Linked DNA regions of Lepisosteus oculatus. The protein of the gene in region 1 interacts with the protein of each later gene in a pairwise test. Links are inferred from orthologs where the notes say so. Each region holds a gene or a part of one and is shown in the gene's direction. Other genes may lie near its edges.

The links.
Region 2: the proteins of hivep1 (region 1) and atxn1l interact in a two-hybrid assay, tested with the Homo sapiens proteins (2 studies listed by BioGRID). The link is inferred for Lepisosteus oculatus from reciprocal best matches to the Homo sapiens genes HIVEP1 and ATXN1L.

The regions. Positions count from the first base shown.
Region 1 is NC_090705.1:17,495,588-17,504,321, reverse strand, and holds the start of hivep1 (zinc finger protein 40), read left to right. Parts: upstream 1-5,306; 5' UTR 5,307-5,413; intron 5,414-8,597; 5' UTR 8,598-8,732; coding exon 8,733-8,734.
Region 2 is NC_090715.1:9,892,342-9,900,032, forward strand, and holds the start of atxn1l (ataxin-1-like), read left to right. Parts: upstream 1-4,300; 5' UTR 4,301-4,447; intron 4,448-7,691. UniProt on the Homo sapiens protein: Chromatin-binding factor that repress Notch signaling in the absence of Notch intracellular domain by acting as a CBF1 corepressor. Binds to the HEY promoter and might assist, along with NCOR2, RBPJ-mediated repression.

The DNA.
Region 1 (8,734 bases):
AAACAGAAACTTCTACCAAGTAATGCCAGCATTTGAGTAGTCTGGTATTTAGAATCAGGTACATTAGATGTTGGGGCACAATCTCAATTTGGACTTCAAGCTCAACAATTCCCTTCTTAGCTCCTAAGCCCAAAGCTGCATTACAGACCATGCTGCAAAAATCTCAAAGCATACAGACACTAAGTTCCGGACACAGAATTAATACAAGTAGCCTCGTTTGTATTCATTAAATGGTTTCTGTTTAAGACTGCGGATTTCTAATTAGATGCCTAGTTCAGCTGAGCCTTTTCAATTTCATATTGCAAATAATCCCCTGAGAATGCCCTTTCTTTCCTTATCTCCAGTAACTCGCTCATTCGTGAAAGAATTATATTAAAGAACTACCATATATCAAATTAAACCAAGTCAGTGTTACAGTGTTAAGGCTGCTCTTAGGATGGAGAATTGTCCCTAATCACTGAATCTCTCCCCCATTTTCCACTTGTACCACAGTTAACAGAATCTTAATGTCCACACATTGGCTCATTGATATTAGTTATGCTTTTGTCTTGATGTCTATTTGCTTTTGTGGTTTAATTCTAAAAATGTAGAATTCTTTGGTCAGTTCTGTAATGTCTCAGATTCCAATGCAACTAATGATCCACATCTGGCTGTTCACATTATGTTATTAGAGATGACAAGCAAGTACCCTTCCTAGTAAACACAGATATCTATTACTCTTCAATCACATAATTGAACAACATCCTTATTAACTCACATGTTAATACATTCTGACCCATTTAATGTAATTCCATAAGCCACAGGTCATCAGACTTACTCCTGCAGATCTTCAGCCCAGCAGGGTTTGTGGGATACCCTTAAAATCCTTAGACTTCAGAAAAACAAGCAAAAAAGCCTTGAAATATTTTGTCTCTTATATCTGTTACTATTTAGCCTACGCAGTCTACCATCAAAAAAAGTAAAGTAATTATTCAGGAGTGAATGTTCAAACTTGTTCAAATATCTAAGTAGTTAAGTTACTAATGTCTGTGTTGACCTACGATATGTCATCATTTTTGTAACAAATATATTCAACAAATGTGTAATATGTGCACATTTGAGAGGTTTATTTAGAGTTTGATTGATTTTTTATTATTGCCATTTTTACTTATGTATACGAAATGAATGATACAGTAAGGGCACAGAAACTGACAGCTGAGTTTACCCGAATAGAATGTAAGATAATTTATCCTTTATTTATGGCAGAGCTACCCTACCTACAGATACATCTGTTTAATGCCAAAACCCTAACCAGCTTATAGCATAGAAGTCACTCAGTTACTGTACAGTATATACAAAAAACTAAAAAGATACATCAGATTTTAAAAAGGGACCTACAGTTATCTATCATGCCAAAGGCGTCCTGATATTTAGTATTATATTGTAATGTTATGCAAAGAAAATTATTTACAATTAATTTGATTTGTCCTAAAAAAAAACTTCTTCAACAGCATTGTTCAACACACATTAGAGAAATGGGTCTGTGCTTGTGGTGCACATAGGGTCTTAGATATAAAGTATAAAGTGTGCAGGGCCTATTAAATCTCTAAAACACAACATGAAAAACTGGATATTACTGTATATACTGAAATCTCTTATGCACTACCTCGATAAAGGACTTACAATATATACATACTGAAATCGCATCCCACACTATGAAAACATAAATGATATACTGAAATCACACCCTTAAAATTATATAAGCAATGGATTTTTAAAAATGTACTTTTTTCTTTAAGTCATCAGCAAAAACAATATGATTTTGAATCATGTTCAGAATGACCATGAACAGAATTTAAAAATCACCTATTGAATTACAGGTGGGAGAAACTACACAATACAGCAACATCGTGTAACAGAACAAAAAGATATTTATGGGATGGCCGGGTGTAGGCAGGATGGAGTTGCCTTGAGTGAGTAAGGGTGTCTTTGAATAGCAGATAACAGTGACCCCGGAGACTCATCAGGGCTCCTGTGAAGTCTACTGCACTGCCAGTCTTCCGCTGGGTACGTGTTTGCCTTGAGGGCTGTTAACCTCACAGTGCAGTGGGGGTCTTGAAAGTGGACCTTTAGCAGGAAACATACAGCCACCCTCCTCATCCCTGCTTTGCTGGAATGGGAAGTGAACCAAGCTGTCTGACAGTTAGATTCCCGGATGAGGCAAAACTAAATTTCAACTCTTGGGACAGCTGGATGACTCAAACTTTGGACCAAATTGATACAACTATCAAAAAGACACCGTCTTCTCTCTAATTGCATTGAAGTAAGTATACCCCAATATTCCTGCTACTACTATCACAATAGAAATGTAGTGGAAAATTGTCCCTTCTAGGATTACAGAAGCCCTTCCTGGCAGGAACAATCCTGACAGATTCTAAGATAAAAGTCTTAATTCCATGCTTCAGTCTGCAGCTGCTGAATGAGAACGGCCTTTCTTGGTAAGGTACTCTTTAGTAGAGTACTTGGTACTCTACTAAAAACACTTTGAAGACATTTCCATAGTTCCTCTTGCGCCTATGCCTTTTGCTAATATAGTATATATTTGTATAATTCTGGCCTGGTAGTTCCTAAAATTGTATTTAAAAGTTATTTAAAACAAGCCTGTTTCAAACATTCTCAACACAACAACACTCAGAACTAGAAATAAGTATGTTTATTGATTTTATTGAGCTCATTTTTTTCTTTCTTTTCCACTTAGGCACTGTGATATATTGTGTCTAGCACATATAATAAATACACAGCACTAATCAATTTGTAATAAATATATTGATATAATTTAATACATAAATATTTAGTTTTCTGTCTCTTATGTATGATGTGGTTATAGTTTAGCTGCTATAATACTATTTTATTAATGGCATGGTCTTATTAGTGAATTTGCTATGAAGAATGATAAAACCCAAAGACAGAGTGAAAATATTACAGCTATCATTAACAGGATCCTTCCATCTTGCTGGAATGTATCTTATAACAGATTCTCTATCTGACTAACACTTTTTTCTAGTGAAACTTATATTGGCACCAATGTCCTCAGTTATGTATTTTACCAGAACTATATCTTTATCTATATCGTATATATCGCTCAGCTTTAGATATTAGATTTGAATTGACAACGTAGCAGTTACAAGGCTAGAACCCTAACCACTGTTCGACTCTGTTGCCTATTTCCTTCTTCATTGTTTGTTTCTAACTGAAATGGTTTCACAATTCTGTTTTGAACATGAATATGCAAACCCATCAGGTGTTCTGTTTTTTATGTCTTAATAAATAAGCAACACAAGTGCCATCGTAACCACAGCTGAACATGCCTAAGGTGCCCGTGTGAGAGCAGTCACTCCGTGAGCAGTGGGGTGCTGTCAGTCTGCAGTGACACAAACATTTAGGAGCCTGTTAACATTTCCTCTGGAGTGACAGCATCTCTGCAGCACTGTGAAGAACTTGAAGGGTGATTCTGGTCAAGCTCAATACAGAAGATCACTGCGAGAATGCAGAGACAGTATAAGAAAAACACCAATATCACATTAATGATTTGCATTCCTACAGTAGTGTGCTGCATATACAGTAATGTTCCTACATTACGTCCTGTTCATTGTCAGCTAACAAGCGCATTGTTAAGTAACAGAAGGATTCCATGCAAATAAAACTATTTAAAATGGAACTCTAATTCTCACAAATGTCACCACTTGTATTTTGATCTGCTAAAAGTTCTTTAAACTGACAGAGCTAATAAAATGATAATTTTACAGAAAGCTTTGTACAGACCATACTGTATGTGAACAAAACACACCAAACGCACAGAAAAAGTATTATATTTTCAACCATCGTTTTCACGATAAAAACATTTTTGGACAATAACCCAAATATGAAGACAACTTCTGCACTGTTTTCTCCCATCGCCCGAAGACAGACTGATTACTGTAGGTTAATTGGTATCTCTGCGTTATTTCCGCGCACTTGTATGAGTGACTATTCACAAATTTAATTCAGATAAACGGCCCCACCCGCATTGAGATCTGTGAAGTTGCTCCCCTACAAACATCACTAACGATGACTCCCACCGCATGTAAGAATGTTAGGAGCAGCATCGCGGAGCTCTGACTTTGGGGTCTGGTTCTGGAAATCATATTTCTATTTTGCAACACGTATGATGTTTGCAAAGACAAAGTAATTGGTGACCGCAGATCTGTAACAACCTGTATTTTCAACAAATTTCTCCAAAAAACGTGCACATTCGCACGAAATGGAGTTCATTGTCATCATCAAGTCATAATATTAATGTTTATTATCTATAGCAAAATTAAGTTAGTAAAAAACTTTATATCATAATTGCATTTGATGGATTCGTTTTCATTAGATGAACGTAGCGTGCAAAGTGCATTTTTAATATTTACAGTATTACAGTGTTGATCATTTCAATGTTTAATAAAAATGTGCAGCATTATTCACAAGCGTAATATTTTAAAAATGTATCAGTCATTTAAACTTGGAAAATCCAAGACTGCATGAATCTCGTGAGAATTTGTAGAACAGTAAATACTGTGATTTATATAATTCTCGCAATGCTTTGTAACTCCGTATTTCATGTAAGACGAGAATCTTACTACCTTCCTCATTCATGAAAAAAACAGCCGATGTCGTAAAACCAATAAGAGCTTTGCAACCTGACGCTGTAAAATATCCAAGACAAAGCGTGATATCTGACAAACGGTCAAAATTAACAAAAAAAACAATCTTTGACCTTTGGTTTGGAGCGCACATTAATCTGCTGAATTCATTCTGGTGATCGGTGATGTGTTGTGCAACAGAAGGAAAATGGTTTCTATTTCAGAGGATATTTTTAATGAAAGCGAAGTGGAGCGTAACAACGTTGCACAGCAAAGGGTTGGATTAAGGGAGATCTGAATGGGAAAGCCCAGTCTGCAGTGAGGGACACAACGTGACCTGACAACAAGGAACCTCCGGGATAACCGTCAGTGCAAAACTATGTGCAAAAGGGATGCATCGAGGGGGGACGGCGGTACACGACACGCTAGGAAATTCAATAATTTGCGTTCTGAGAAGGCAAACAAAAAAAAATCCCTTGAGTCAAGATGTAACATGGCTTTCAAAAAGAAGGGAAGATGAGTTTAGCCAAAGAAGCGCGTCTAAACGCTGTTTCAATAAAGTTGTGGTGCGGCCGTCGCGGGCCCCCTCCTTTAGACTTTCTGCAGTTGAGAGGCGGTTACGGGACCCCCGATGACGTCAGTGGGCCTGCCTGTTTCCTGCAATAGAAAGTGAGAGAGGAGGTAAAGGGGAAAGCGGACCTTTCTCAATTTTACCGTAAAGGTTCGCCGTAAAACAAAACAAAGCCCCGAGATTCATAAAGCTCACGCTCGTAAGTATGAATCCTTAAGGTTTGTAAGCGTTGCCATTTTCGTTTAAAGAAACGCCGTGTTGCGATTCGGATGCGGGGGTGCAGTTTTGGATGCCCGTGCTGTTACAGCGACGCTGTACACAAGGTTCAAGTCGGGCGCAGACGCGCGTCGGGTTTTTTTTTCTGCTCTGCGAGAAATAACTATCGTGTTTTTGTAACCGTGGGCTAATAGGCATGGCACGATCCGAGACCTGAGCATGCTCTGCTCAGGGATGCCGTAGGTGGACAGGGGCCACGGCGGTAGTGTGCAGCCTAGCGCAGCGCACAGTCCGACAAGGTGCGTTGTTTTGGTGCCGAGACTCCCTGCAGCATTTCCTCCAGCGCACGGAGGGGGGGGGACTTCTGTCTTTAGCCTGTCACGCTGGGTAAACGGGGTGGGCTCAGGCAGAGTTTGGGTTTTTCATTCCGGATGGGGTGCGGGGCAGCCTTGTTGCTGCGAATTGGCGAGCCGTGTCGCGTTTGACGAACTGGGAAGCGCCTGTTCGTAGTCCCTGATACGGAGGGGTTTTCCCCGGCTCCTCCCCTTAACCGCTTTCCGTGCGCGCCTGGTGACATGCACGGAGGACGTCTGCGCTGTGCCCGGCTCTGCGCAGCTCTCCGGGCATGTGGTGGAGAGAGGCGGGGAGGGCAGACGCGTGTGCCCCGGTCATTCAGACACCACGCCAAAACAAGTCTAATTCAACATTAAAAAAAAGAACATTGGGCGACTGCTATGCCTCCATTGTCGCGCACTACCACCCCCCTCTCCGACTGCTGCAGGGGCAGGTGCGTCCTGCACAGCTGCCCCTGTGCCAAAACGGGCTCTGCCCGCCCCCATCGTAGCTCTAGGATTTGGGGGGGGAGGAATGTGGAAATTGCACACAGCGCCGACAAACCGACAAAGGAAGCGCCTCTCTTTCATGTCTTTTCAAAAATACAAATACATTTTTGTGTGTGTGTTTTATATCGGTATGTTAAACAGCTGAAAGGAAAATGCCTCATCACTCCAGTCATGTCCATTGCCATAATGGGCTTCCCTTGTTATTGTTATTTTAGCAGCGGTAGTAGTAGCATCTGCTGTATTAATTCAGTGGGATTATTTTCTAACTGTAGGAGATGCTTTTGCACAAAAAAAACTGAATCAGTGTGAATCAGAATTATTAACGGTTTGCGCAAGTTTAATAACCTCTCTTCCCATGCTTTGTTGCTTCAACATTTCTCATTTGGCGTGTGTATTTCGAAAATCATTTAATGTGTTTCTTGCCCTTTATAATTATGAATAAGATATCCGATCACTCCATTTTTCGCTTTGGTGGTTCTGTCAGCGTTCACTCAACATTCAGCTATTTCAATTCGGTTATCAATATTTGCTTTAAAATGAAAGCATTGCAATAAATCATTGCTTTAAAAATGAAAGCATTTCCCAAATGGCCATTTGTTTTATCTTCCGGTACAATTTTAGTTTACACGGGTAATTTTAGATGGGATGTAATTTTCCATTAAAAACAGTTGCATCTGCTTGTGTTGTTTAGACTTCAACGTTTTCTGTAAAACCCCTGGCCTTCCAGCAGCGCTGTTTCCCTAGTGAAATGATGTCATTGCTGCGGCTTACAAATATTAAAGCAAACAAAAAAAAATCGTCTCTCCTGTCTGCCATGTAAAATAAAATTATTTTCAGCTCGCGTTTTATGCATTGGTTTGTTCATGACTATTTTTAGTTTTCAGTTTTATTCGGCTCATTGTCATTCGAGGTTAATGTTCAGGGCTCATTCGAAAACTATTAGAGAGGTTGCAAGGAAGCTGGCACAGTTCAGTACTATTGTCTGATGTTTGTACATACGCTATAAATTGTATCTAAGGAGGGAATAAGAACGGCCGACAATTAAAAGGTTGGAGTTCAGATCCATTGTGTTGCAAAACTGAGTGTATTTTTAGGAGTGTACATTAGGCACAGTAGAAGGTCTGCAGCTTGTAGTAAATCCATCAGATTCCTTTAACTGCGGCATTAGTTTTGCAAAAGCTGCATGGGTTAGATTTACAGTATGTCACACACAGGGCGTGGTACTGTATTTGCAATTACTGTATAATGTACTGTAACCTGTACACCCACCCAGCCCCATCTGAAAAGAACTTTCCCTCATTCTCCCTGCATTCTGTGTAGCCTTGATGCAGTTACCCATCGTTGTTCTTTTAATATTTTATATGAGAGGGCCTGCTTGTATTACCTTTCCTGCCAAGAGATTTTCAGAGTACTACAGAACCTGTTTTTTTTTTCCGCTGAGTTGCTGAAGTGGGAACACAGGTCAAGACTGAGAGCTTATCTTTCAGACAGTTATAGTAAATGCCCTGTGTAAGTCCCTGCCTAAGTAACACTTATATAAACACTGGAGTTTCTTGGTTCATTAACTTTTTCGAGTCTAGACAAGGTCACTGTATTTAGCGGCGTTTACTCCAATGCAAATTAAGTCTGCATTGAACACTTCTTGTTTAAAGCTGCTGTAAGAAGTGTGTTCTTTCAGTTCTTTAGTTATTTTAGGAAGAGCAAACAGGTTTAGTCGACAGGCTTTAATTTAATTCACAGTAGGATCTTCTGTTTGACTGCAGCATTCAATAGATAATGGATTCAGTGGATCTTGGTCTCTGCTGCATGTGGCTGTGGATGAAAATTTGCACACATATATGCAAACAGTATGGGGACAGAATCATTATTTTCACATGGTGAAGTCACAGGCCCAACTCTGATTCACATGAAGCATTAGCTCTAGGCCCCATAAAATAAAACTGGTGCAGAAATGTTAATGTTCATGTTTTAAGTGGGAAGAAATAAGAAGACTAAGCTGTGTCTAGGGATTTCATTATTAGGGTTATTTTCTGTATGAAGAGAATAATGTCCTTATATTACTGGGTTCGCAATATGAACCAGCTTTTCACTGTGCAAGCCATTAAATCCATACATTAGGGATCTAAATGTCTTCATTTTTGAGTCACCTCAACTATAAAATGGACTATTTAACAATTTATTTGTTTCTGATCAATGCTGTATGCTTTTGTGCATTTGTACACTTTGGAAAGCACATGTGGCATGTTCTGGTGAAAAAGACCACTACAGGATGAGGGTGTTTCATCGATGAGGTGCTTATCGGATTGCTTCTTCTCTTCCCACCAGACAAGCCGACATTGACCCGACAGTGACCCGGGGCGGCGGGGGAGGTGGGAGCTAGGGGGCTTCACTCTTCCTCAGCCGAAAATTCGCAAGCAAGGCAATGACGCACCCATATCTGCGCCTGTGACCAGAGGAATCAT
Region 2 (7,691 bases), on another chromosome or scaffold:
GGAAGTTCTACCACAAATTTTATCTGCTGACAGGAAAGTTTCAGAAGGTCGTCTTGTAGTCAAATTCGGTCACTAAGCTTATCTCTACCTCTATGAGGGTTTGAAACTAGAGCTCTCTCACTGTTAATATATCTGTTTTTACATACGGTGAGACATTTACTTTCTTTATTTGAATTTGTTTATAAAATTGAAGGTTTCTTGCCCAGACATTGCTAAATGAGTCCTTTAGCAATGTCAGTTATCAAAAGTAGGGGGTTTACAAATACAGCAGTAATGATATAGCAAATGTCGAGAAAAATCCTAAAGCTGCATTATATTTAGAATTATGCCAGAGATGTGGTTAATCAAACAATATAGAACAAGGGGAGAGGTGCAAGATGGAAATCCTTGACTGAACTGCGTTTCCCAAAGGTCTATGAAGAATGATCATCACCCCTGTTCAGGTGGGGGGGAAACGACTGGTACAAAGTCTGCGGTTGGGATCCTGCTGTCCTGTATCTCACTGAGGTTTCACAGGTCTCCTGGACATTGCTACTCTTGGCCACATCTGAACAGGGATACAGCTAATGAGAATAAAACAAAAGAAGACTTGTTTTAATCGTGTTAATGGAGACCAGGCGAATTTAGGTAGGTCAGTTCCAGAGCTGATGTTTCCTGGTCTGAAAGTGTGAGCTCACAGGCCATCAGGACATTCACGCTTGGAGTCAGAACGCAGTGCCATGATCTGGACAGTGGAAATACATGAAGATGGCAGAATGTGTTAAGGTAACTGGGCAGAAGACGTGCAGCCATCATTCTTTGTCTCTCACTGGAAAGGTGATCCTGAAGTGCAATTTCTTGTCTCTTTAGAAAGAGATCATACGGTCCTTTTAAGAGCCTTCTGACATACACAATTGCTCTGTAAACCTTCACAGTCATGCTGTATGCAGCAAAAAAACATCCAGCTGGAGGACCTTTAGCAATCAGCTGTTATCTAAGATAAGTCCATTAAGCAAACCAATCAGACGGCTTTTAATAGAGCGCTATTATTATATTGTCAAAAGGTGTACAACAAGGTCTTGGCAAGCGCTTTCTGCTGGTGTGGAAATGGGAACTGTGTTTGAGCTGTTACTGTGAACAGTTTTATATGTTAAAAAAATCCTTTAGAACTGTCTACCTGATTGAGAAACAGATGCTGCTGAGAGCTCCTCAATCTGAAAGAGGCAACATTTTAAAGTAAGTTCTGGCTGGAATATTCTGTGACTGACTTATATTATACAAGTGAAATCAAAATGTCTTCTGCTATTGGATTCACTTTCTCTAACGTCCTCCTGGAGGAGATTACAATGTCTGTATTAAAACAGACCAAGGACTTGAAAAAAAAAACCTCTATTTGATTTTGTTGCTGAAACCGGTACCGATAAATCTGTTCTGGAAGGTGTGGGACTACAAGCAGAACATCTAGGCAGAGGACTTCCCCTCTAAACAGAGGAAAGTGAAGAACCGTGCAGAGGCTATCCCACAGAGCTGCCTCCACTGCCCCTGGCCCCTGCTGTCCTGCAGTCTGGCTTCGAGCCCTGGTGACTCAGTGTGGCTGCAGAACTGAACACCCCCCTCTCCTTCACTATTAATTCTCCTCCATACTGAGTCTGCTAAACATCACACCTACCTGTGCCTCAAACAGATAAGTAAGGGATAAATGAGATGCACATACCAACAACAGTGAGCAAGATGATCTGTCGTTATCTCTTTTCTTACAACGTTTATGCAGATTTTGTTCTTCAAATTTAACGGTTCCAGAGAGAGGCTTAAGTAAATTAGCCTATTATTTTCTTCCTTCCTCTGAAACAGGTAGATATCTTTCATCAATTGGCACAGCAATTACTCATGAGATAAATAAATATTCCAATTGTGCCCTTCTTCATTTTACATATATTAATGTTCTAAAAGGAAAATGTTATGTCAGGTGTATGTACACTTTATTACATAGAAATGCAGTATGCAGTAGAATGCATTGACATACACATGAAGGCACAGCAAAATAAAAAAAAACAGCATTAGTATTTTTACACGCATAACATTGTAAAAAGGAGATAGTAAATATTGAGCATCAAAAGAAATGTGTTGCATTTATCATTTGTAAATGCAAGAAATACATAACAGTTATTGGGAAAAGTACTATCTTTTGCAGTAGCTCACTGATAGCGAGAAGTGACTTAGTTCTTCAATAAATCAAAGTTGCTCAAGTGTATCATAGTAGGTCATGTGTGGTCTTACGAATTATACCAAAAGTATTTAATCCATATATCCAAAATCGACATACTTTATTTAATGCAACCAGATTGATAGGTTTCTCTTGATTTTCTGCATATGCCATAGAGAGGCAGTTTATTCACAGATCAATTTAAACAGTTAATTATAAGTTAATTTAGAGTTCTTTCACTTGTTCATTTACAATAATTCTAGTGGGTAATGTCTTGTTCAAAAGGAGACCTAAATTAACATTGTTTCCCTAGGATATAATCCATATTTTAAAACTGCTTTAAAACACAAAAAGGAAATCATATTCTAAACTTTTCTAAACAGGAAATACTGATAACACTACAGAGCTTTTCTGTTGACAACATCTGTCTTCATTCTTCATCTTTGACTGGGTTAAACCATGACTATAAAAACAAAGAGCAAAGGCAAAGGGACTACAAAAAAAGCCAGAGAAACAACCCTGACCACTGCTAAACAAATCTGATAGTCCTTGATTCTCAAACAACGTCAGTGCAGAGAACCACCTGCGAATATAGCCTCACAATGAAGGGCATAATAAGCCTGGTGTTTGTATAGCTTTCACAGACTGTACAGTGTGTGCTGATCATATAATGCCACAGTTTGGAAGAAAAATCAAATAGACAAGAACCATGCTTACAATCTCTACAGATAAAGACAAATGTGGAATTTAGTAAGTGGCAGGATAATTACTGTGAGACTAAAGATTGACAACAGACACAAGGACAGAGTGAGAGAGGAACAGCACTATATACAATGCTGTCCCTCTTTCATAGTATCATGAGGCACCACATTACCTAACTGAACCAGACATACATACAGTATAATATTTCTGTCCACACTTGAGATTCTTCACCTTGCATTCGCCTGGGTGATTGAATATTAAATTAATGCATTCTTAACATCCATCATCATCGAGTTCAGGATCAATCATTGTGCTGTAAATAAGTGGCTGCCACGTGGCATAATAACATTATTTTGATGTAATGAATAGGAAACATTTTTTTTCATGTTATAGGAAAATAGGAAACAGTTTTTTTTTCGACTAGGGAAGAGGAAAAACATTTAGGTTGCAAGGACTGCTTGTTGATAGGGAAGATAGCTGGTCCCGTAGCTACCAGATACTTCGAGAAACGTGCACATCTTTCATGTTAATCCGCTTCAGTATACAGGCAAAGTAAAAAAACCCATTGTGTCTCAAAGAGGCTGGCAACTGGTAATTACTGTATTTAGGTCAGGGAAAGCCAGGCTGGTCACTGATTCTGATATATGAAACCAAGTAGTTCGCATTCGTCTAAATATAAATCATTTCAGTTACGAGCAGTTGGGGGGGATGCTTTGAGGATCTCAAACTTGGAGTTACCCATCCACGATTTAGGTCACCCGGTAAATTTAAAAATGTGTTGCGGTTACTAATGGAATATATTAGTCGGATCAGAGAGCCGTCGTCACGTAAGGAATTAGTACAGCCCTACTGTTGAAACTTTTTAAAATAGTTTTCACATAAAGAGAACAGTTATTTTGTGATTACCGTCACCGGTGCTGCAGAAGTAGCAGCACTACTTAAAAAATAAATACAATTTTACAAAGATTGTACAACGGCTCCCTCTTGCGGTACAAATGTGAAGTGATTGTCTAGCCAAAAGAAGATTCAATATCACATTTACTTCCTTGGATGAGTGTCATTGTCTCACAGGACGGTTACAAAATGAAATATTGAATGCCACTGCAACTAAAGAGATCCTGAGGATCTCGCAAAACTCTATGCATATGAGACACATAGCAGAAAAACCTGGAAGAATATGGAAACGCAGCAAATTGCTGATTAATTTCCATTACAACCATAATATAGAAATGATGTGTGGCAATGTCATGTTTCAGGAAAAAAAAACATTTTACTACGACAAACCTCTGACTGTTAGACCTCCAATCCGTAGGGGGAACTGGAGAACATCCTCGTCGAAATCTTCGTCTCGTTTCCCAATGCACTTTGTGCTTTAGCAGTGAGATCATTCAGGAAGCTGGAGTTTCGAGCGTGACGTCATCCCCAAGCGCCGCTGTGGTTTCGCCTGCTGGGTTGCATTGAGATGGGCAGAACTTGTCAACTCTGATTCGACCAGCATTTAAATTGAATTAACTGACAAACAGACAAAAACCAAGAGCTGGATGACCAGAATGAGATGTCGAGGTAAGAGCTGAGCCAAACTCTTTGACTAGAAATCTGTAGAAAAGAAGTCAAAGATTGTGAGCGAGAAAGACAAACAGAACTAAAAAACTACCGTGGATTGTTTTGCTCGGCCTTTCTATGTGATCGCCACCGCACTGTTTTAAGAAGTTTTTCATGGTACATGTTGTTCGGGCTAAGAAAATAATGTAAGCATTAAAAAAAATAACAGTTCCTTGACATATCAGTGTGCGGGAAAAATGAACGCTGTCAATTGTAACAGCGAGAACCAAGTCAACATTATTGTTGCGGTTTAGCGACCATGTTAACTAATTTTAAATTGTATTTTTTAATAATGAAAAGTGTATCTGCTTTTATCGTTGTTATTAGTAATAGACTAGGTACAATAACAGTAAAAACAGTTGTAGTGGTGGAACAGATGCATTGTCAAATTGATGAGTGTGTAATAGGGATGTCTGTGTGACTTCACTCAGGCTAGTTCATCGGGATTTGCACAAGTCTGTCTTTACCGGTAGTACTAGTGGTAGTAAAATGTGCGGTGAAGAGTCCGCCCTCTCCTTTATGCGTCTCGTTTCTGACCCTCATGCTATTCGTCATCGCCCGAGTCTCTGTCTGGGGAAGAACGATTCACAACATTTTTCTGTTAGTCATCAGAATCGGCAGCGAGCTCTCTGTCTTAGCGGTTTACGTGGGTGTAATCAGATTTCTAGTGAACAGTGAATATCACTTCATTCACTACTGTCAAAATCTCAGTGCGGCAGTGGGAAGATATGACTGGAAATCACTGATGAGCCCAAAACAAACGTATGGAAAAGCAGCTCGTGGCGAGCTTCTTGCTTCTGTGAATGTGCAAGAAATGTGACATAACTGAGTGAGTTTTAAGTCATTTTAGGTGCCAAGTAACTTTTTAAATAGTATTTGTCAGCGTGTCATGTTTGTAATTCTTTTGTGCAGTTAAAGCACAAAAGACTGCACAAAAAAAGTTTTTTGCACTAAGAAGTCCCTTACTGTTTAACGTCTGCACTACGTCATTTGTTAAAATCGGGATTTATAGATTATTTTTTTCAAATGGAATTGTAGGAAAGGTAAAATCCGTTAATTAATAATAAAATGTGCTCTGTGTCTACTCCTGACAACTTTTATAGGCTAACTGTTTAATGTATATAATAGTGGGAACACAAATTCAACATTTTAGTTCCTGTTTATCCCATAGGGTGAGAAAGTCACCTGGTGACATATAATAATTAAAGACAAACACCTCAAGAGCATGCTGGAATTTTTATCCTTGTATATACTGTATATACTGTCACTCCTTCCAGAAACAGTAGAAACAATATGCATTTCACATCGCTTAATATTCTGAAGTGATCCTTGAACATTTCTACAGTCAGCAGAAATGAATGTTATTGACCCACATACTGTACCTTGTAAATAGCTTTTTGAATATGGGTCTGTTTTAATGGCTGTGACAAATGGAGGAGAAATGGTACACAGGGACAATTCTGAAGTCTGAAAAGGACCAGTAAGTGAATTTAGAAAAACAATCAAAAAGGTTGTGAACTTGAATTATTTTGTGAGGGTTCGTCTTTTCTCTGCGCAATCTTACAGTCTGTCTGTTTGTGCGTACTGGTTTTCCACAAGGATGTATACTTTCCCCATTACTCTTTCTTGTACACCAATGGCAATACCTCAAGTGACTCTTCCATCAAACTAATCAAGCAGCGGAAGACACCATCCTTGTAGGTCTATTCACAAATGAATATCATAATATGATATTGGTATCATAGAGTAGTAACAAGCACACAAAGCTTAATACCTTCCATACAGTGAAAATGCTGGTTGCTTACTGGAAACATTCTCCAAAACCTCAGTCCCTAGTAATCAATGATGTGGCTATGGGTGTGATAGAGTTCTTTAGTTTTGGGGTATAATGATGTCTAATAACCTTACATGGGACACAGATATCTCCAGTATCACAAAGAAAGCACAGCAGCAAATGTACTTTTTGCCCAAACTGAAAAATTGGGGTCTCTCAGCCAATTGTAATACAGGTTTACAGAGCCATTATTGAGAGCATTCTGACTGCCTCTGTAGCTGTTTGGTTTGGCAATGCGTCTGTCCACTCATGAGGGGAACTGCAGACACACTGCGGCCTTTGGCTGTCAGATGCTCTCTACTGGAGATTCTAGAGCAAGAAAGCAGGCAGGAAAGACTGCTGATGACCCCACCCAGGTTAACCCCTGTTTCAGAAACGTCCCTCAGGAAGACACTACTAGTCTATTAAAACAAGAAACACCTGGTATTTGAACAGATTCTTTCATGGGGCTGCCTTTCTGGTTCACCAAAATTCCTAGTTGTGTGTGCTTTTAGTCATGTCTGTTGTCTTGTTTGTGTATGGCATACAGTATGTAGCATGTTTTTGATGCATCAAGAACACCAGAGGAAATTCCTTGTAAACTAAATATACTTGGCGAATAAAAGTGATTCTGATTCAGATGTGTATTCGTGGCCACAATCACTGCTCCATTGTATGTTACTATTTCTGTATATGTTCTATATTTTCTGTTCATTTTTTTTGAACAACTGATGTGATGTACTAAGGTTTGTTTCAAAAAGATTGAATTACCTGTTGATGTTGATTTAAAACTAAAAGCTTTTTTAAAAGCAAAGGTTGCTCCTTATGTCTGCATCATCCTGTCTAATCGTGGCTGTAGCCACTCTCCTCCAGCATCTTTCAGAGGAAACATCTAGGATAATAAGTAGGTATTATTACTTGACAACGTATTGCACACATTTGTCAAAGTCAGAGAGATTTGCACTGAATGAAATCATGATCATTTTCTGACTGTGGAGTCCTGAAAGGTCATTAGTTTGACTAATGTTCTTTCCATTACAATCTTAACCAGCCTTCCTGTAGGCCTTAAGAGTAGTATAGACTGTGAAGTGTCTTACAATCCTCTCTGTTGATTTTAATCTTATTTCTGTACTTTGGCGTGATAATTTCATAGTCCTACTTTATACTGAATAGGAAAGTAACAGAAGAGGCTATTCGGTTCATTGGCTTCTGATTTGCTGACGGATACGTACTACGTCTTAGTTTCCTTCAATCACTGTGTCCCTGTTTCCTGAGGCAGTATCTCAGCTTCCTGTCGAAACTTTTGAATTATTTTTAAATGTGATACGTGAAACATTTGGTGACAATCGGTGAGAAAATCTGTATTCTACTAACAGTCAATTTAAAGTTCTG